Linked DNA regions of Rhinolophus ferrumequinum. The protein of the gene in region 2 interacts with the protein of the main gene of each other region in a pairwise test. Links are inferred from orthologs where the notes say so. Each region holds a gene or a part of one and is shown on either strand. Other genes may lie near its edges.

Evidence for each region. The genes of interacting proteins can lie anywhere in the genome.
Region 1: the proteins of NR1H2 (region 2) and NCOA6 interact in a two-hybrid assay, tested with the Homo sapiens proteins (2 studies listed by BioGRID). The link is inferred for Rhinolophus ferrumequinum from reciprocal best matches to the Homo sapiens genes NR1H2 and NCOA6.
Region 3: the proteins of NR1H2 (region 2) and MED1 interact in a two-hybrid assay, tested with the Homo sapiens proteins (2 studies listed by BioGRID and IntAct, with this or other methods). The link is inferred for Rhinolophus ferrumequinum from reciprocal best matches to the Homo sapiens genes NR1H2 and MED1.

What each region holds. Positions count from the first base shown.
Region 1 is NC_046306.1:20,474,301-20,481,829, forward strand, and holds the start of NCOA6 (nuclear receptor coactivator 6), read left to right. Parts: upstream 1-4,519; 5' UTR 4,520-4,652; coding exon of another isoform or gene 4,653-4,925; exon of another isoform or gene 4,926-4,933; intron 4,934-7,529. Other genes in the region: ejaculatory bulb-specific protein 1, read right to left, coding at 2,492-2,528, 2,744-2,826, 4,653-4,925. UniProt on the Homo sapiens protein: Nuclear receptor coactivator that directly binds nuclear receptors and stimulates the transcriptional activities in a hormone-dependent fashion. Coactivates expression in an agonist- and AF2-dependent manner.
Region 2 is NC_046298.1:45,214,539-45,221,757, forward strand, and holds the start of NR1H2 (oxysterols receptor LXR-beta), read left to right. Parts: upstream 1-4,208; 5' UTR 4,209-4,336; exon of another isoform or gene 4,337-4,352; intron 4,353-4,450; 5' UTR 4,451-4,581; intron 4,582-5,188; 5' UTR 5,189-5,208; coding exon 5,209-5,251; intron 5,252-5,331; coding exon 5,332-5,463; intron 5,464-5,752; coding exon 5,753-6,043; intron 6,044-6,124; coding exon 6,125-6,390; intron 6,391-6,572; coding exon 6,573-6,752; intron 6,753-7,219. UniProt on the Homo sapiens protein: Nuclear receptor that exhibits a ligand-dependent transcriptional activation activity. Binds preferentially to double-stranded oligonucleotide direct repeats having the consensus half-site sequence 5'-AGGTCA-3' and 4-nt spacing (DR-4).
Region 3 is NC_046304.1:36,121,095-36,128,112, forward strand, and holds the start of MED1 (mediator of RNA polymerase II transcription subunit 1), read right to left. Parts: upstream 3,011-7,018; 5' UTR 2,808-3,010; coding exon 2,783-2,807; intron 635-2,782; coding exon 528-634; intron 1-527. UniProt on the Homo sapiens protein: Component of the Mediator complex, a coactivator involved in the regulated transcription of nearly all RNA polymerase II-dependent genes.

The DNA.
Region 1 (7,529 bases), on a different chromosome or scaffold from region 2:
GGGGGTCACTTCTTGATACTCTTTAATTTTTTTTCAATTGTGTTGTTAACACTCTATTTCTACTTTTCAATCTTTTGTTCCTAAGAGTAAGCCCATATTAAGCCGTTATACAAAGTAGAAGCCTTTATACAAAGTACTTTATATAAAGTAGACCCCTCTTCAAAGTACTTTATTTCTTATTGTCTGAAAATTGTTGAGCTGATTTTATAATAAAAGATACTTTACTGCCATCTGCTGGTAAATTATCACAATAAATTTATAATTATAATGTCTACCAGTGAATGGCACCCACTTAGATATGTCCTCCTGAAAGACACAATTTGTCCAACTAAACGTGGTTATCTTGTCGTTTGGAAATGTTGTGATGAACCCTGCAGAGAGTAAAATGGTGATGCTCTCTAGATGGTTAAAGATGTGGTTCAAGTATCCACTATCAATCTTTTTACTACAAAGCATAAGCCCATTTGGACAAACATTTAAACGTAGAAGTTCAATAAATGTTAATCAAATTGTTCACATCAAAGAACAATTGATTTGCTTTTTCTTTACCCAAATCTGAATCCAGAATATCTTGGATGTCTTAGGACTGCTTTTCTTGCTCATAACAAACTGTGAGTAGCCTGATAACCTCCTTAGAGACCTCTGTTAATCTGCTCCTTGTTGAGTCCTCATAAGTGCTCAGTACTCTTCTAAACATTTTACAAGTACTAATTCACTTAATCCTCTACTAATTCATTTAATCCTCTAATCCTCTAATCTGTAACGTACCCTTATTATCTGCACCTTACAAATGAGGCAACTGAAGCACAAAAAAGTTGTTATATTACAGGTGATGATATTACAAAAATACTTTCTTTGGGAAAGGGTACAGTCTATTAGGGACATAAAATAAAAACTACGTTAAGGATTAAAAAACAAACAAAATAAAGGAGAAAATACTTTGGACTCTGTTGGACAAGTCATTTTTCTCTGTTTGATCCCAGTTTCCTCATGTATATAACAAGAAGGTTGGATTTGCCCAAAGTTACATAACTAATAAATGGCAACACTAGAATCTGAATTTGGGTATTTTGGCTTCAAAGTCCAGTCTTGTAAGCACTATGCTATTGTTAGTGCCGTCTATGGCCTGTTTTTGTTCCTTTGCTACCTTCCTGTGGGCAACAAATATTTGTGTTGCCTATGCACCTGCTGTTTTCACTTATCAGATGTGTAGGTCCCCAAGTGGGCCCCTGTCTCCTAGCTCCCTGCATCCTTGCTAATCCCAGAAAAACCCATGACCTTCAGTTTAAGGACATTGATAACAAGGTGAAAAAAATGAGGACAGTGGCTCAGGTTCTGGCATATGTGTATTTTTTAAATCATGGCAAAAAATATATCCATACAACACAAATGTCGCCATTTACACCATTTTTAAGTGCACAGTGGCATTAAATACATTCACATTGTTGTGCAACCATCACTACTATCCATCTCCAGAACTTTTTCATTTTCCCCAACTAAAACACTGTACCTATTAAACAGTAACTCTCTATTCTCCCCTCCCTCCAGTGCTTGGCAATCACTATTCTACTCTGTCTCTATGAATTTGACTACTCTAGGAATCTCATATAAAAGGAATTATATAATATTTGTCCTTTTGTGACTTCCTTATTTCACTTAGCATTATGTCTTCAAGGTATATCCATGTGTGAAAATTTCTGCCCTTTTTAAGGCTGAATAATATTCCATTGTATATAAATAACTCATTTAGTTTACCCACTCGGGTTGCTTTCATGTTTTGCCTATGGTGAAAAATGCTGCTATGATCATGGGTGTACATATATCTCTTCGAGTCCTTGCTTCTACTTTTTTTGAGTAAATATCCAGAAGTGGAATTGTTGGAAAAGATGGTAATTCTGTGTTTAACTTTTTGTGAAACCACCAATTTTTTTTTCACAGCTGTGGCACCATTTATATTCCCACCAGCAATGTGAAAGGGTTCCAATTTTTCCATAACCTCACCAATATTTGTGGTTTTGTTTTTGTTTTTTTTTTTTAAATAGCCATCCCTAATGATTAATGCTATTGAATGCCTTTTCATGTGCTTATTGGACATTTATATGTCTTCTTCGGAAACTGTCTATTAAGTCCTTTGCTCATTTTTATTTAAATTTTTATTGGGGAATATTGGGGAACAGTATTTTCAAGGACCCATCAGCTCCATGTCAAGTTGTTGTTTTCAATCTGATTGTGGAGGGCACAGCTCACTGGCCCATGTGGGAATCGAACCAGCGAATTTGGTGTTATGAGCACTGCGCTCTAAACACTGACCCAACCAGCCACCCTCTTATGCTCATTTTTAAATTGAATTTCTGTTGTTTTATGAGAACCACCCCCCTTTGCTCATTTTTAAATTGGATTTTTGTTGTCCTACGAGAATCTTGTAGAATCTTTCAGAGCTTTCTTACCTCTAGAAACTTTCATGAGATTTGGAGGTGTGTATGATGTCATCTCAACCTGTTACCTGGCTTCTGGTAGGACCCTTGTTTCTGCAGGATAAAATAACCAGAGTTTCTCATTTGGTCTTTCATATTAATTAATTAACCAAGTAATTCATTTATTGTATCATTATCTAAAGATACATGTCAGATTGCATATACCAGATTTCCAGGTTAACACAAAAGAGTACATGCTTGTATGTTTATATGAAGTTCAAGAACTGTCAAAATTGATCTAAGGTGCTAGAAGTTAGAATAATGGTTACCTTTGGGGGAGCCAATATTGACTGGGAGGGGTCGTGGGAGAGAACAAAAGAAACTTTCTGGGTTGGTATTTCTGTAACTTGATCTGGGTGGTAGTAACACAGGAACATAAGCAAAAATTTATTAGGTATACACATAAAATGTTTGCATTTTGCTTTATGTAAATTATACCTCACTTTTTAAAAGTTAAAAGAAAAATCTTTTAAAAAACTTTTTTTCCAGGCTCTTTTTGTAAATCCTTTTGGTGTTAATTTCATAGGCTCAAAAGTCTAAGGTGCCCCCTTGTGGCCGCGTGTGGTTCTCTTTATTTTTCTCTGCCCTCTTGGGCCCAGCACTTTGTGCTAGGATTCATACCTACAACAAATATTTATTGAGCGCCTCCTCTGTGCCAGGCACTGTGTTATGTGCTGAGGAAACAGAAGTAAACAAAATGGACAAAGTCTCTCTTCTTATGGAGTCCACAGTCCAGTCAGTGGTAAAGACGGAATAAACAACTTAGTACATCCTATCGAGAACAAGCAAGAGAAACCGCCTGGGAAGTGAGTGGTCAGGGAAGGTGCTCTTGGGGAAGAAATGTGTGAGCTGGTATCTGAGGGCTGATGAGTTATCTAGCAGGGAGAGCATTTTAGGCTGAGGGTCAGCATATGCCAGTGTCCTGAGAAGGGGGAAATGCAATATGTGAAGGAGATCACTGTAGTTGCAGTCCACACAAGGGAAGAGGGCCCTGAGATAAGTCTGGAGATGTGGGAAGAACAACAGTAAGACATCTATTTGGTCTTTACCTTAAGAGCAGTGTGGAACCATCAAATAGTTTCAAACAGGGGAGGGACATGATCAGATTTCTGACTTACTGACATTACTCTGACAGCAGGGTGGAGAATAGATTGGAGGGGAGTCAAGCACACAGTGTGTGCTCAATAAATATTCGTGGAATGAAAGACTCCTTTTCTTAGATGAGACCAGTATTCTTGAGCTTTGCAATCAGTTTACAATCCATCTGCTCGTCTTCTGTCTTCTGTGATGCTTCTGCATCACAGAAACAGACCCTTAATTCCCATTTTACAGCTGATGAAACTGAGGTTCAGAGACAAAGAAAATCACACAGCTACCAAGAGTGAATTGGTAGCACCCCCCCTCCCCCATAGAGAGTGGATAATCCTGGGGGCACCTATGTCCTCAGGCCCGTAGGAATTATACGGTCTTGTAATTCAGCCCCGCGACTCCAAGGACTGCCCTTGAATCCAGGCCTGCATGACAGACATCAGGTCCGGTACTGGAGAGGCCTTCCTACATTTGAGGAGCAGGGAGGGCACCTACTGAGCTTGCTGGGGTGATGGTGATGGGAAAAGACAGAGAAGAACTTATAGGCAAATAATAATAAAGGCTAAAGGTTATCTTTATCACCATATGACACTATCTGTCAGGCATTGTACCAAGTGCTTTCCATGCTTTCCTCATTTCCTCTTTGGTATTATTATCCCCGTATTTCAGATGGGTCAATTGAGGCTTGGAGAACGGAGTTGCCCAAGAACACTCAGCCAGAGGGCACCTATAGGGCTGCACAGTGACTCTGAAGTGGGGGCAGGTGCCACTTGCGATATTGCAGCTACAGGAGACAGATCCACCCTGTCTGGGCCCTAAGGTCTGCACCCAAGTGAGCCGGTGCGCGCTCCGCCTCGCGCGCTCGGGGACGTTTGGTCACGTGACCAGCCCCACCCACCTCTAGTCCGCCCCGCCCCGCCCCCTCCCGCACTCCCTCCCTCTCTCCCTCCCTCCCCCTCCCTCCCCGGCCCGGTCCGGCCCATCCCCCTCCCCGCCGGCTCCCTGAGGCCCTGCCGGGTCGGGCTGCTGGCGGCCGGGCGCCGACGGCCGAATAGACGGGCGCACGCGAGGACGGACGGACGCACTCACGGAGGGCCGCGGGCACGGACGGCCCGGGCCGGTGCTCCGAGGCCCGCCCGGGAGGGCTGGGGCCGCGCTCAGGTGAGGTGACGGCGACGCTGGCCCGTAAGGGGTGGGCCCGCCGGGCGTCCACGGTCCCGGCCCGGCTGGCGACGCTAGAAGGAGACGGCGCCCGGGCCTGGCGCGGGAAAATGGCGCCGGCTGGCCGTGCGGCACGGCTTCTGTGCGGGCCTGGCCGGGAGCCGCCCCGCCCGCCCGCCGGGCTCGTGTCCCCGTCGCCATGTTGGGGAGCGGGCCCCGGGCCGGCGGGCGGGGGCGCTGGAGGGAGCGGAGGCCCGGCCGGGTTGAAGAGGGTGTCGGACGCCGGGTCTGGGGCATTGAGGGAGTGCAGGGCCGGCCGGGGTCTAGACGCATGGGGTGGCGTTCCAGGTCCAAGGAACTGGCGGGAGCCGGACGTGGGGTCGTGGCCAGGGTCGTGGACTAGGGATACTAGGTCCAAACGGAACCGGGGTCGGGGTCTGTGGGACTTGGGTGAGCAGGACCTGGAACTGGGTTAGGCTGTGGGTGGTGTTCAGGACCCCAGGGCAGGTAGGACCCCGGAGGGGCGTGGGGTCCGAGTTCAGGCTGTCAGGGCTGTGGCACTTCTTTGGGTGAAGAGGAAGGGGTTGATTAGAAATGGGGGCTCTTTGGGTACAGACGCAGGTATCAGATTGGGGCAGTCCTTGGAGTCGCGGGGCTGAATTACAAGACCGTATAATTCCTACGGGCCTGAGGACATAGGTGCCCCCAGGATTATCCACTCTCTATGGCGGAGGGGGGTGCAACAAAAAGGGAAGAGTTTGATAAGGAAGAGAAAAAAGGGAGACTGCAGTTGTGTGCAGGAGCTAGCCAGCAAAAGGGGTGCAGAGAGTGGAACTGGTTGGCAAAAAGAGAAAGCCTCCATCAACTTGGAGAGTTTGTGTGTGTCTTTAAAAGGAGGGACCGGGCTGTTTGTGGGCGGTGACCCAAGGTGTCTTCCCTGGAAGGGGACAGCCCACTGTTTTAAGAGCTGGGTCACCTGGGGAGGTCATCAGAAAGAAGTTATTGAAGCCAGTAAGAATGGTGAAGAAGGAATGAATGTGTAAAAACGACAGAGGCCTTAGAGATCATGTAATGATTTCAGATGATGTAGTGATTTTAGCTGAGACATGGAAAGGTAAAGTTGACTTCTCAAGATCTTAAAAGTTAGTAGCAGAGGGTGTTACTGGAACTCAGGTCGCTGCCTCATTCAACATACTCCTGCCTTAGAGGAATTTGCTAGCTGGGAGAAAAATGTTAACAAGTCAAGCATGGCAGTTTATATCAAAGAACTCTTAATTTATTTTGTTTCTGTAATCAGTTTGTCACTTCAGAGACTCAGAGGGATACAAAAAAATGTATAGGTAACCAGCTATTTGATAATTTCTATTATAGCCCATCTCCATTTGTGCAAAGAAGTTATCTTCAGGGCCCTTTTGACTTCTAACTTTCTCAAGTTTTAAGAGATGCGCCTTCTCTTCTAGGTGTTTACTGTACAGCAAAGGGGCACACACACACACACACACACACAAACTAGAAACAAAACAAAACTGAACAATGGTAGAGATCCAGGATCTCTATCATGATCAAGCTAATTGAAGTTTGATCAGAATAGAGAAGAGTTCAAAGTTCACATGGGTTATGGGAGAGCTCTGAGGGAAGGTATGCAAATCAGTCATGAGACATTATAGGGCTCCCATATAATCAAAAAGGACTTTCAACAAAAAGGTTGCGAGGACATTCATAGCAATAAGATTTTCGATATTCAATATGTATATACCATCCATATATAAAGCAACATGATCCATTTGTTCTGGGTCTTTCTAATGCAGGAAGGCCTAACCTTGTGGGTACCATGGGGGGATGGAGGGAGGAGAGGGAGAGGGGTGTCAAAGATGAGACTGAGAAAGTTGGTCGGAATCTGGTTGTGAAGGACCTTGCTAAGGAGTTTGAACTGGATCCTTAGCTGATAGGCATTCAAGGTCTTCAAGGAGGGGACTGGATGATGAAGTTTAATTTTTAGGAGATAAATGGATATTCTTCAGGAAGGTGGACTGGAGAGCAGGGAAGAAGTAATGAGGGCTTGAACAAAGGCAGAGGCTTTGAACATTGAACAGCATTAGAATTTTCAGGTGTTGATAATTGACATTGTGAGTGATGAGAAAGGGAATTTCTCAGATTTTTAGTGTGGGATAGTGGCTGTCAAAGAGATTAAAAAAATATAAAAGGAAAATGAGGTGAGAATTGTCACAGATAATAAGGAAGATGTTTTTTGGTAGAGTCATAAAGACTTTTGGAAACCATTGCAAAGCTGTCAAATGCGGTGTAGTTTTTGCTTAAGGAAATCAGAGGTAAGTGTTAGCAGACATAAAAGGCAGGGAAAATATTCCTAGAGTGTAGGGAAATCACAGCTGTCTATGTTAGGGGTCCTCAAACGATGGCCCATCAGTCAAATCTGGCCTACCACCTGTTTATGTAAATAAAGTTTTATTGGAACACTGGCACACTCGAACATATTGTCTTTGGTTGCTTTGACACTACCAATGGATGAGTTGAGTGGTTGTGACAGAAAATATATAGCTCACAAAGCTAAAATATTCACTATCTGACCCTTAACAAAGACGTTTGCCAGTCCCTGATCTAGGTGTCTGCATGTGGATGTTCAACTTCTGGTTTGCCATCCCAGTTCCTATACGATAGAGAAAAACCATCTAGGCTCTGTCTTTCTGCCTGGGTCCCCCATACTCTGTGTACCTGAGGCATGACATAGACCCCTGAATATTTTATATTGGTCAGTGATGCCAAGGTCTGTTTTGGGGTCTGCTGTGT
Region 2 (7,219 bases):
CTCTACAGTAACTCTCACTACAACTCCCCCTCCTCTGTCTCAACAGTTCGAATCCTCAGTCTTGACTCCTCAGAATCTCCGCACCGGATTCTGCATCATCCAGACCCAGCCTGCAAATTCCAAAATGGCCACACGGTGGTGGTGTGGGCCTAGTTTCCCAGTCAATATCTGTTCTTTCCCGACTCTCCATATGAGTTTCTTTTTCGGAGTCCTAGTTTATGACTTATTCAAACTTTATGAACCATGGTCCTAACAGATGTAAATGTAAAGGTTTGTGATTATCCGCTATTTAGTATGGAGAAAATATTTTCTGATCAGCCTGTTTTACATGAATTCTGATAATAGTTACATTTGTTTTTTCACAGAAATTTCAATATACACTTCCTGAAAATCTTAAAAAATTAGTATAGACGCTATGAAAATGGTTGACGCTACGCACAACGTTTTTCCATTGGCAATAATATTTGGTGAGCTTTCTTGTAACCATGAAGAACCAGTCTCTTAGTTCAACTTAATTTCCTGACATCCAACAAGTACTTTTTAAGCACCTTCTCCAGGGTAGCAATTTTTCCTGTTAATATTTCACTTTTAAACTTTACCTCCCCAGTTTCTTGAGCTGAAATCCTGGAACACATTTCAAGCCTCCCTGCTTTTGCCCCTGAGGTTCCCACTGACCAGAATACTGACTCCATGGGAAGAGAAGCCAAGTAAATGCTTCCTGCCTGACTGCCACCTGCCCAAGGAGGCTGGGAGATGTCTTCTAAATACAATCAGCAAATGGGACCCAATCGTCACTATTTTGTCACAAAGTGGTTTGTGACCAGGTCCACTTCCACCATCAGACTAAAAGGCCCTCAACCTAAGGCTCACGCCTGACTGCTTTTTGGGTCTCCAAATTCATTCAGCACAATCTCACGACTGGATAAAGATTACTAGATTTTTCAGTCCACCATTTTATTTAATTGCCTAGCAACCTTATAAAAGAGGAATTATTGTCCACATTTTATAGAAGGGGGAAACTGAGGTGTGAGGTTGGGGGAAGGAACAGCCCTGGTGTACTCAGTGGGAAGTTGAACCCCGGTCTTGAGGTTCCAAACACCTTGGAATCAGCCCAGATGCCTTGCTTTCCCTCGCGGTGATCTATTGCTTTTGCTCTCCTTCCATTGGCCAGAATGGCATGTAGCTGCAAGGGATGCTGGGAAATGTAGTCATTTGTGTCACCAAGGGAAAGGGACCGTTTTTTGTGAATGCTTAGCCGGTGTTGGACAAGTGTGGCCCACAAGACCTCATTATCTAACCGTGCTCCCTCTATGATCTTATCTAGCACTCTCCCCTGACCCCTCTCCACTCTAGCCACCCTAACTTCCTTGTTGCTTTTTAAATATGCCTAAATTATTCCTGCCCAATCTTACTGATAACTTATATTAAGACTTTGCCACAATTTTGGAAAACATCACATCACCCATGCTGTCTAAGGCATATGAGTTCATACAACAGTCCTGTGTCAGACTGCACTGTAGCTTTCAAATTCACAGTAATTCTATATTTTGAAGTAAGAGCTAGCTGCCATATTGTGTCTTTCATGTACCTATGTTGAAGCACATATGATTTTATTACAAGTTAGCTTCTATTTTTCATCTTTTGTATTGCAGTTGGTGAAGTAAGATGCTATTTTGTTGTTGGGGTCATAGTTCAGCTGTATCATCTCTGTATTTCACTTCAGAATAGTAAAAGCAGAATTACATGTTACAAATTATTTATGATTAAAAGAAATAGAATTGGGTATCAGAATGCAAATTAAAACCACAATGAAATATCGCTTTGCACCCACTAGAATAGCTATAATAAAAAATGCAGTGAAATAAGTCAGACAGAAAAAGCAGAGAACCATATGATTTCACTGATATGTGATATATAAACCAAAAACAACAAAAGGACAAGACAAACAAATTAGAAATAAAAACTCATAGACACAGACAATAGTTTAGTGGTTACCAGAGGGTAAGGGGATTGGGGGGTGGGAGATGAGGGTAAGGGGGATCAAATATATGGTGATGGAAGGAGAACTGACTCTGGGTGGTGAACACACTATGGGATTTATAGATGATGTAATACAAAATTGTACACCTGAAATCTATGTAATTTTACTAACAATTGTCACCCCAATAAATTTTTTAAAAATGCAGATAATAACAAGTGTTGGTAAGGATGTAGAGAAGTTGAAATCCTTGCATATTGCTGGTGAGAATGTAAAATGATGTGTGCAGTCTGGCCATTCCTCAAAAAGTTAAACATGGAGTGACCATATGACCCAGCAATTCAACTCCTAGGTATATACCCAAGAGAAATGGAAACAGATAACTACACAAAAACTCGTGTTTGAATGTTCATAGCAACACTTTAGGCAAGAATAGAAATAACCCAAATGTCCATCAACTGATGAATTAATAAAATATGGTCTATCCACACAATAGAATAGCATTCAGCCACAACAGAAATGAAGTACTAATACATCCTACAATGTAGATGAACCTTGAAAACATCATGCTAAGTGAAAGAAGCCAGACACTGAAGGACATATAGTCTAAGATTCCATTTATAGGAAATGTCCAGAATAGGCAAACCCATACAGACAGAAAGTAGATTAATGGTTGCCTAGGACTCAGATGATGGGATAAGTGAGGGTGACTGTTAGTGGGCATGGGGCTTCTTTTTTGGGGTGGTGACAAAAGTGTTATAAATTGTGGTGTTGGTTGCAACAATTCCATGAATATACTAAAACCTATTGAATTGTACATTGAAAATGGGTGAATTGTATGGGTATGTGAATTTTATGTCAGTAAAGCTGTTACTAAAAAATAGGGTTATTAGGTGAGTTATAAATGAGAACAGTGGTCTGCAATTAGGTTCAGATAACAAAACTGACTGGATGCTTAGATATGCCAGGTACTGCTCTTCCTGAATCTTCGCACCTTTGATAAGAAATTCAAATATTTTCCCCCATTTTACAGGTAGGTAATTGAGGCTGAGAGTGACATGACTTGCCCCCAAACTGTTGCAATTCATCTTCAGTCTATTTCAGCCTTTTGCACTGTTCTAACAAAGTTAAAAACAACTTGAACATCTGCAGGAATAAACATAGCTTCCACATGTTGGGTTCCTTGTTTGAGCCTGGCCCAGTTCATAGTTTTTACTTCATTTAATTATAATGACAATGCAATGAATTGTTGTTCCCAATTTACAGATGAAGAAACTGAGGCATGGGGAGGGTAAATAGCTTGGCTCAACATCACACAGCGAGAAAGTAGCAGAGCCCCTGGTTCAGCCATCCCCCCCATGCCCACGTTAACCACTCGTTTTTATTGGTAACACCCTCAGCTGGAAATTCCACAGCTTCAAGGCCATGCCTGAATGGACAAAACAAGCTACAAAAAGCATGGATCATATATTGTATTCCCATTTTAAAACAATGTGTATATGCTCGCTATAATCTGATTATCATCATCAAGACTTTGGAACAATTTCCATCTTCTACCCATATAAGTATTCTGAGTTTTCTTTAAAAGCTCTTACTTGGGGTGGCTGGTTAGCTCACTTGGTTAGAGCACAGTGCTCTTAACAAGGTTGCCGGTTCAATCCCCACATGGGCCACTGTGAGCTGCGTCCTCCACAACCAGATTGAAACAACTACAAGACTTGGAGCTCATGGGTCCTGGAAAAAAATACTTAAACACATTTTTTAAAAAGTATTTTTTAAAAGCTATTAGTTGCATCTTTTTGGTAAGGCTACGCTTTAAAAAGAAATTCTTCCTATTACCAAGTTATTTTTAAAATATTTTTATTCTGGGTCTAGGTTTGCAATTTAACTTATTTAAAACTAACAAGTAGAGCACCTCCAAAATCAGAAATCTCCTAACAATCAAAAAAGGACAAACGTGCTTTCAATCAGCCCAATGCGAAAAGGAACTATAGCTGGGGAGACTTATGCCAAATAAATCTTGCTGGGAGCCCATAAAAACACATAGTGCCAGGAGGGAAAGTTTGGATCTGGCCACGATAGGGCGAATGAGTCCGGAATTCTTCTGCAGGCCCCCAAGGGAGCTACACCCAATGATAAACTTCCGGCGGGTATACGACTTCCGTGCGGGGCAGCCGACTAGGTTAGTCCTAGGCGGACCGGAAGTCTGTCACCCCTGAATCTCCGCCCCTTTCAGGAAGTGACGCACAGTGGGGTTGCCGGAAGAAGTGGCGAAGTTACTTTTGAGGGGACCCGAGCGGCGGCAGCGTGCCAGGGGATACAGAGGAGAAGGAGGAGAAGCAGAGCAAGGGGACGGAGGCAGGTGCACCCGAGTGTGAGGAGACGCGGGAGGAGCCCGGCCCGGAGCCTCTCGGAGTTCCCCGCGCTGCTCCGCTGAGCCCCTTCTCTCCTTCTTCTCCCTCCCCTCCATAGCTCGCGTCTCCCCCGACTGTTTCCAGGGAAACGGGAGGAGACCCCGCGAGAGACTGCCCACGAGACCCTCGCGCGCAGCCATGAGCCCCGCCCCCCACTGGTGTTCGGAGAGGGGCGGGACCTGGAGCGAGGTGTGGGGGCGGAGCATGGTGGGAGGAGGTGGAGGCGGGGCATAATGGGAGGAGATGGGGCGGGACCTGGAGGGGAGAGGTGCTGATGGAGCAGAGCAAAGTGATGGGGAAGCGCATTGTGGGAGGAGTCAGAGTGGAACGTGGAAGGGATTGGTCGGAGCCTAGGTGGAGAAGATGGGGGCGGAGCATAATAGTAGGAGGTGGGGTCAAAATGAGTTATAATAGGTTTGCTTTCGCGTAGAGGTGGGATGTAGTAAGAGTAGGTGGGATGAAACAGTGGAAAGGAGGAAGTAAGGGTGGAGCCAGACTGAAGCAGAAGGGGCAGTACCTTGAAAGAGCCTGTGGAAGGTATCTGGATCAGACACAACTTAAAGGAGGGGCGGGGTTTGAGGTCATGCAAAAGGTTGTTTTGGATCAGAAGTTGGGGGGGGACCCTTTTAGAATTGGAAGCCTTTGTAGACTGGCAGGGGTTTGGGGTGAGGTCTATATGCAGTAAGGAAGGAGCCTGAGAGAGATGGAAGAAACAGGTGACCCCTTCAAGACCTGTGGCTGACCTCACCTGAACTTCCCTAGCCCCACAGACTCTCAGACCCATTGTATTTTGCAGGCTGCTCCGTGACCCCCACCATGTCCACCCCCACCACAAGTTCCCAGGATACCCCCTTGCCAGGTGAGTGAGCCCTTCCCAGCTCAGTCCACCGCACCATCACACACTTGTCAGGAGAAACTCACTGTGACTCCCTCTCCCAGGAAATGTCCCCCCTCAGCCCAGCGCCCCCTCTTCTAAACCCGTTGTAAAGGAGGAGCGTCCTGAGCCGTGGCCTGGGGGTCCAGATCCTGATGTCCCAGGCACTGATGGGGCCGGCTCAGCCTGCAGCGTGGGTGAGACGGGGTCCAGAGATGGGCTGGGAGTGGGTATGCGGGGCTGGGGGAGGATCCAGGAAGGGAGAAAGATCAGAAATGAGGACCGGCGGCCCCGGTTTCTTGTTAACTTCTTTTCTCCTGTTCCTCTTTGGAGTTCACTGACATACACATCTTTCCCTCTGAATTGCTATCTCCCTGGGTCACCCTCTGTACTCTGGCTCCTTGTCTCTGATCTCTCACGGGCCTGTTCTCTGGCTGCTGTTTCTTTCCGTGGCTCTGTCTCATGGCTTTTTTCCACCCACTCCAGTCATCCCAGACCCAGCAGAGGAGCCAGAGCGCAAGCGAAAGAAGGGCCCGGCTCCAAAGATGCTGGGCCACGAGCTGTGCCGGGTGTGCGGGGACAAGGCGTCTGGCTTCCACTACAATGTGCTCAGCTGCGAAGGCTGCAAGGGCTTCTTCCGACGCAGTGTGGTCCGAGGTGGGGCCGGGCGCTACACCTGCCGTGGTGGTGGAACCTGCCAGATGGACGCCTTCATGCGACGCAAGTGCCAGCAGTGCCGGCTGCGCAAGTGCAAGGAGGCCGGGATGAGGGAGCAGTGTGAGTGTCAGGGAGGGAGCAGTTCCACCCTGGCCTTGCCCAGCTCTCGGGCCTCTGCTGAGGCCTGTGTCTCCCCAACAGGCGTCCTCTCTGAAGAACAGATCCGGAAGAAGAAGATTCGGAAGCAACAGCAACAGCAGCAGCAGCAACCCGTAGGGCCGGGGGTCAGCAGCAGCTCAGCCTCTGGGCCTGGGGCCTCCCCTGGAGGGTCTGACGGGGGTGGCCAGGGCTCAGGGGAAGGCGAGGGTGTCCAGTTAACAGCTGCTCAGGAACTAATGATCCAGCAGTTGGTGGCAGCCCAGCTACAGTGCAACAAACGCTCCTTCTCTGATCAGCCCAAAGTCACGGTACTGCCCCTTCCTCGGCCGTGAGGGGGTTATGGGCCTGGGATGGGGAGGGAATGGGGCTCCAGAGGGCAGGGGCTTGGAGAGGAGGGTCTTTTGGGGTGCAGGCTTTGCCTCACTGTGCCCCCATGGCCTTGGGCTTATGGGAGGAGTCCTGAGAGTGATCCTGGACCCCTATGTCCTAGCCTTGGCCCCTGGGCGCAGATCCCCAGTCCCGCGATGCCCGCCAACAGCGTTTCGCCCACTTCACGGAGCTGGCCATCATCTCGGTCCAGGAGATTGTGGACTTCGCCAAGCAGGTGCCCGGCTTCCTACAGCTGGGCCGTGAGGACCAGATTGCGCTCCTGAAGGCATCTACCATTGAGGTAATGGCCAGGCCACCCACCCTCAGCAAGCCTCTTCCTTTCTGCCCTCAAGGAACCCCAGGAATGAGCCTGAGGATGGATGCTGGTAGCACAGTGATGAGCAAGGCCTCTCCAGACCTTGCCCTTATGGGGATGATATTCTCCGGGGGCCTGTCAAAATACTAAACAAGATAATCAGAGTCTCCAAAGGGCCAGAGAGAGAAAAGAAACGGGCTGAGGCTGAGAATAACTGAGAATTGGGCTGAAGAGACACAGTTTAGAGAACGTGACAAAAAGGCTCTTTAGAGGAGTTGACATTTAAACTAAAACATTGGTAATAAATAAGGTTTGAGTGACTAGTGTGTGCCAGGCTATACTCCAAGTGCTGGGCACATGACAGAGAACAAAACAGGCAAAAATACTGCCCCTGTGCCTCGTAACCACCTGGGGAGAGTGTCCCAAGTGGAGGGAGCTGTGTGTGCTGAAGC
Region 3 (7,018 bases), on a different chromosome or scaffold from region 2:
TGTATCACTTGACCACCAGTGGAATCATATGGATGAACGTTTAACATCCAGCCATGCTCAACCCCGTCGTCCACTTAACTAAGAGCTCACCATACTGTTGAATGACTCAGGAAGGAGCAGTACTGTGGAAAAAGGCTGACAGAGTGAAAAGGTGAAACTAATTCAGAATGAACTGCAAACTCTACTCCCAGCATAGACGCAATGTAAATACTATTACATTAGTAACAAGGAGCTTGACAAGAAGTGAACAATAAATGTCTCTATACCAGTCTATCATGTGTGTCTCTTATTGGTGTATTTCTTAGCACCTTTGCCTACAGTACACCAGTGCACTATAACTCATGATTAACACAATTTTATAAATATATCTCCTTAAGTAGACTCTTAAAACACCTGGGTAGGGGTGGCTATCAACTTTATGATAAATAAAATTAAAGACACACTATAACAACTAGTTTGGAAAAGTCTACACAGGAAGCTGAGCTTATTAAATAATTATCTAAGCACACACCACAATCCTCACTCACCATGACTTGACGCACAAGCTTAAAGGTTTCACTCCAAGGTCTATTTTGGTTAAATTTTGCATGGAGCCGTTCCAAGAGAGAACTCATCTTACTCAGCTTTTCCGATTCTACAATATGAATCAGAAGACATCGTTAGAAACTCTTTCAAGAACTTCCAGTTTTTCTTGCAAATGAAATCCCCATACATGATCCTGGTAAGAACTTAGTTAAAATATTTTTCAGTATCATTTACTTGGAAACATACAAAGAATTTATTTTTAATGACAAGAAGACACACAAATTATGAGTCTAATCTAATAAATACCATAGACTGGAACTGCTTTCTATTCAAACTTTGAATGGGAACCAAAAAAACACACAAACAAACAACAACAAAAAACCTCATCTCTAATCATGTTTCAGGATCAAGACTACAATTTAGTGGCAAAATCATTTCATGATATGCATGAAATCCCTTGCGTGATACATATAGAGTATATATTTGAACATGGCCTTACTATGGTTAATTGATTTTCAATGTGAAAATACAGACTTTCTTAATTTTTTACATAATTTTAAGAGATCAATTTCTAAGTATTATCAAGAAAACATGCTTTGTCATTCAGATTTCTCCTATTTGAATTCAAACTAAATCTATATGGACAGGGAAGAGGTAAATGTCTAAAGGATGAGTTTCCAGCAGAGGTAAGAGAAAAGTAGAAAAAACTGGCTCCTGAACTGTGTGAACGAAACTCCTATGCCTTTAAACCCTCCTCTAATTCTTCTACTGCTTAGAATGAGCAAGGACCTGTAATACCGTGTTTCCCTGAAAATTAGACTGGGTCTTGTATTAATTTTTGCTCCAAAAGACGCATTAGGGCTTATGTTCAGGGGATGTCATCCTGAAAAATCATGCTAGGGCTTATTTTCCGGTTAGGTCTTATTTTCAGGGAAACATGGTAGAGACCACTGGCAATGCAAAAACACACAATATCCCTGAAATGACATGTGTGAAGGGGTCTGGATAAGTTTATGTGGAAATAACCTCAAACAAAGCAAAATGGGATATGCTCTTAAAAACAGACGCACATTATTAATTGAAATTCAAAGGAGAAAAAGTTAGTTGCAGGGATGTTACAGAAAAGGTGTCATTGAAAGACCAACAGAATATCAGAAATCAGAGTTGAGGCAGTGACACCTTCTAAATCAAAATTCAAACTCCTTCCTCCAATTTCCTCATCCAAAAAACTGGTTTTTGAGCTGTTGCAGCCAGTTTACAGTTCTGGACACATTTCTGGCTATTCCCACTTTCAAGACTCATTCACTCAAGCACTATTTTACGTGCTGGGGATACAGCAGTGAGCAAACTAGACAAGATTCCTGCCTCATTGAGTTTCCATTTTACACTGTCATTCCTCTGCACCCAAAGAGTAAACCTTCTTCCTCTCCTTCAAAACACATTCCCCATTCTTTTCTTGAGAAGCCTGATACATATCTTTATATGAATGCTCAAATCAAACTTTTTTTTGAGCAACTACTTATGTGCCAGCGACTATACAATGAATGATGAGTAAGGCAAAGTCCCTATTCTATAATACGAAGCTCAGAGTAAAGTGGAGAAGACAAGTGAAAAATACAGTGAACTGTATTACTACAACTATGTCCAAAATGCTAAAGAAGCATTTAAACTGGAGTGTAGAACTTTAGAAAATTAAGTAAGATTCCATAGAAAAGTTGTTTTCCAGCAGTTCTGAGTTAGCCCAGCCATTGAAAGAATGAAGTTCAACGCCTTTTTAAAAAAATATACAATAGCACAAGATCTGAACACTGACATTCTAGGGAACTGTTGGCTTTTAATATCATAAGGACCTAATCATTTCATTCATGCCAAAACATCCTCCAGTACTTGAACGAATAGCTCTTATTATTATGTCATTTATTCAGATGTCTCTTCTGGAACAGAGGTGTAAGCAGGTATTAGATTCACTCGCCTGGTCTCCCATAACTTTAGGATAAAAATGTCCTGAGGCCCAAATGATTGCCCCTATCTCAACAGGAAACCTTCACAGAAGTTGGGAGCCCCCATCACCCCAAAGTCGGAGCTTTGGATCACCAGGGAAGGCACAGTCAGAATCTGAAACTCACACAAATCCCGCCTTCGGGACTCGGCGCCGTCGGGAGAGTGGCCCCGGCGAAGGCATCGGACCCCCAGCTCCTCTCACAGATTGGCTTCCCCAGCTGTGTCCCGCCCCCTGCTTTCCCCTTCAGTCACTCACCCTCGGTTTCCCCCTGAGCCTTCATCCTGACGGGGAAGGCCTGAGTCCTACACAAGAGGATAAGCCCTTCCCCACCAATACCGGCGGAATCAAGTTGGTTCGGGCTCCCGGGACGCGGGGCACCAGCAGTCCCCACTCTTCCCGGGAAGGTTCAGTCTGAAGTCCCTGGCGGCAAGAAGAGAAGGGTGCTCGCGGCCGCCGCCATCTTCCTCAACGGAACTTCCCAAAGATCGCGAGATTAACCGTGATCCTGCGAGAGAGGAAAAGGGCTGGGCACCAAACTATCGCGAAAAATGGTTAATGCGGTACTTCTCGCGAGATTCTCCCAACATAGCTTTCTCGTGGCTTTAGGTTATCTTAGGTTTACTGCGGTAGGTATGGTACTTTCCCGTTGGTTGTGATCGGTTCCTCTTATGAAACCGGCATTTCATTTTGGCATTTAAGCAGTTCGCAAATTAAAATCCCCGGCTCTCTTTACTGAAAGACTAAGTTTTCGAAGAATATTGGTATTAGAGATGTTTTATTAAAGATAATACGCTTTCTTGGGATACTAGATGGAATAATTATGCCATAAAAAAGATATTGGCCCTTTGTAACACGACGTTCCACCCCAGTCCAGTACACTTAATTCCCATTTCCTTTTTTTTTTTTTTTAATTTCAGAAGTATTTTTTGAGCAATTACAGTATTTTTGAAGATCTAGGAGATTTTGGATTAAGGTAAACTTGTTTTCAACCTTATAGCATAAGATGTTATTAATTATACTTAGGGTCCCAAAGGTGTTCATAATTGATTGTGTCCTTTTTTGTAATCGTAGTGAAAACAAGCAGTTTAGTTTGTATTCTGCACCACAAGTCACAATGTGTAATCATATTTCTTGTATCAATAAGTCCTCATAAAGAGAAATTTGGAGTGATGCCGAGAAGTTCATGGCCACTGGAACTGAAGAACCAGGCTAAAATACAATAGTGCTAACACTGGGTAAAAGTTCTTAACATAGTTAAGGTTACTTTTTTTTTTTAAGTTCTTTTTCCATACAAATCCTTGAAAATAACTGGTGAAAAGTTTGATTTTTACCTAGTTTGTGGCAAATATATTAAGAATGGATTTCTACTAGCCACATCTCAGACTTTACCTATCCTATTTCTCTGAAAATAAGACCTAGCCGAACAAACAGCTCTAATGTGTCTTTTGGAGCAAAAATTAATATAAGACCTGGTATTATATCATATTATGTTTATCATATCATATATCATATCATATTATATTATAAAGACCTGATCTTATAGTAAAATAAGACTGGGTCTTATATTAATTTTTGCTCTAAAAGACGCATTAGAGCTGATTGTCCGATGGTCTGGCTAGGTCTTATTTTGGGGGAAACACGGTACATTTCAAAAATGTTAAGCAAACGTTCTCCTAAAGCCATGCCAGCAGATAACTACAGTTCAGGTGAGCAGGCACAGCAGCGTAAATTTATTGAGAATAAATCTGGAAATGTCTGGAAACATGTTTGTCACCACAAAGTTATATATAACCATGCTCCTTGAAAGTAGAATTCAGATGTATTGCTTGTCTATTCCTCTTACCCCATTCCTTTGAGTCACTACACAGTTTCTTGGGGCAGGAATTTCCCCTCATTTTTAGGACCCCATTATCTAGCACTGTACCTAGGCTTAGTTAGGCAAATCTTTTACTGGGCTTGCAAAGCCTTGCTAGACCCAGCTCTGCTCCCCTTGCCAATTCCCCCAGCCACATTCGCCTTCTTTTATGTGCAGAAAATTCCTACACTCCTCTCCTTAACTGCTAGGAGGGCCTCCTCTGCTGTCTTCACCTCACTAAGACCCTCTTATTCAGATTTCAATTTAAATGTCTCTTCCTCTAGAGCAGAGAAGCAAGCCTTTTCTAACCCCTGACTTAATCAGGTCCCCTGTTATATTATCTCTTTAATAATACTTAAACCATCAAAATTAATTAAGTCCATAATTTGTTCAATGCCTGTCTTCCCTCCTGGACTGTCAACTCCAGGAAGGCTTGCACTGGGTCTGTTTCTTTCACTGCTATCTACTGACATTGCCAAGCCCAGCTCCTGACACAAGTCAGAGACTCAATACATATTGTTGGGATAAATAGAGAGGGTCTCCAGATAAAATAACAAAACACTTAAATTTGAATTTCAGAAAATCAACAAATATTTTTTAGTATAAAAGTATGTTCCAAAATTATTATATAATGTAAATCTAATAACCTTAAAATTGATGAAGTACAGAGAGCATTTATCGAAGTGAGAATTTTCAAAGATAATTCATATTTAAAATTCCGTTTCCTTTTCTGTTGTCAAAGTGCTCTTCATTCAACAAGCATCTATGGAGTCCTAATACTTGTGTATTAGGAACTAGTAATATAAACATGAAAAAGCAGCCCCAACCCTTATTTGACTCATTTGATTTAGAGTTCTGAAAATCTGATTGGTTACTATATTCATGGGTACTCAAAAGAATTTTTGTTAATTTATTATTATGCCCAAAGTATTAACGTTAGATACACAGCTATACTTCCTCATGGAAACTCTCTGTACAGATAAACAATAATGTCTGTATTAAGTGTAGCTAGAAAATTTTAAACCTTATAAAGCTTGAAAATAGAGTAAACTTGACCAAATTTTGGTCACAGAATAGAAGTTATCATTTCTCATCTGAAATGACATGTAAAATTTGTACTCAAGTAAAAGATACCATTCAATACAAAAAAGCATAAAAGGTGCACATAGGAACAATCTTCCTACGTGGCAAGAAGAAGACAATGCGTACATTTTAAATGACTAAGCTTTGAGGGAGACTAAACTCTTTAAACCTAAAATCTAAACTAACAAATTGGTCTGTGTGGGGATAAGAAGTTACTGTAACTTTAAATATTTTCTCTTGTGTACAGGCTAAAGAGAAGCTTTCTGACCTGCTGTGGGAATTTACAGGGAAAGTGTAATCATCACCTGACTGATCATCTTGAGGTTCATACAGTTGCCCTGACTCCCTGCCCTGACAGGTCATGCAAATAAAGCAAATCAAGCAGTTTTGGAATTTCTCAGTTCAAAGTTTTCTGTAGAGTGAAGCAACACTTACACAAAAGCACTATTCTCACCAGTTGTTGGGCCAATCAGTGTGTGTAGTTTAGAGTAGATTTTGTATTTTAAAATTTAAACAGAATCTGAGATTTCCTAGAATAGATTTTTTCCCAGCTGTATTGAGATATAATTACATTAGAGCAGAATTTTATCCACCAAAAGGAGAAAGTTTAGTGCAATAGAGTATTAGCCTAGGTTTAAAGAAAGAGAGCTGTCCCTGTTTCTGGCACTAACTAGTCTTGGTGTAAACAAGCTCCAATTCCTTCTGAGTCTGTTTCATCCATTAGTAGATGCATATAACACCCATCCTGGCCACCTCACCAGGTTATTTCCTTGTTCAGCTGATATTTATTGACAGACTTAAACGAGTCTTGTAGAAAATTAAAAAGTGCTACAGAAATATAAGAGATTATAAAAATTCAGAAAAAGCTTAATTTATTCATTAGGGATCTCTAGTCTGCTTCAATAGGCAACAGATAATTAATCTTTATAACTATAAATAATGCTGTTTAATTTGGATGATTTTCTTTTTCAAGATTTTATTTGACACATGACCATGATTCCTTCCACTTTTCCATTTTACTATGAATGTGGGTGTATCTGGGTCAAAACCTTCATCTCAATTAAAAGTTAGAAAAAAAATCAGAGTAGTTTTGCTGAACTCAGACCAATATTTAATAAGGTGGGCCAGTCACATCTAATTGGCCTATTTAGTCTCATGCCAGCTGCCATCATGTCAGACACTTGGGGGAACCTTTACATCCAGGCCCTCTTGCAGCAATGTTGGGGAGATACCACACCTGAGTTTCAGTACTTAATTCTATCCTCTATTTTTTTTCTTTTTTCTTGATAGCATTAATTTTGCTATTTCCATAGATAATTAAAAAGTTGATATGAAAAGCTTGGTCTTTTTCATTTGTATTCAAGATTTATGGACTTAAACGTTCAAGTAAAAACTTTTTATTAGTACCCATGTAACCAAAGCAACAGGAACATTTTCAGGGAATGATTTTGAAAGTGGATTCTTCTACCTTCATTCAGAATGTTTTCTGACTCCTAATTTACTGGTTGATCTTCCCATCTTTGCATATACAAATCCTATTTACTCTTTCTGGC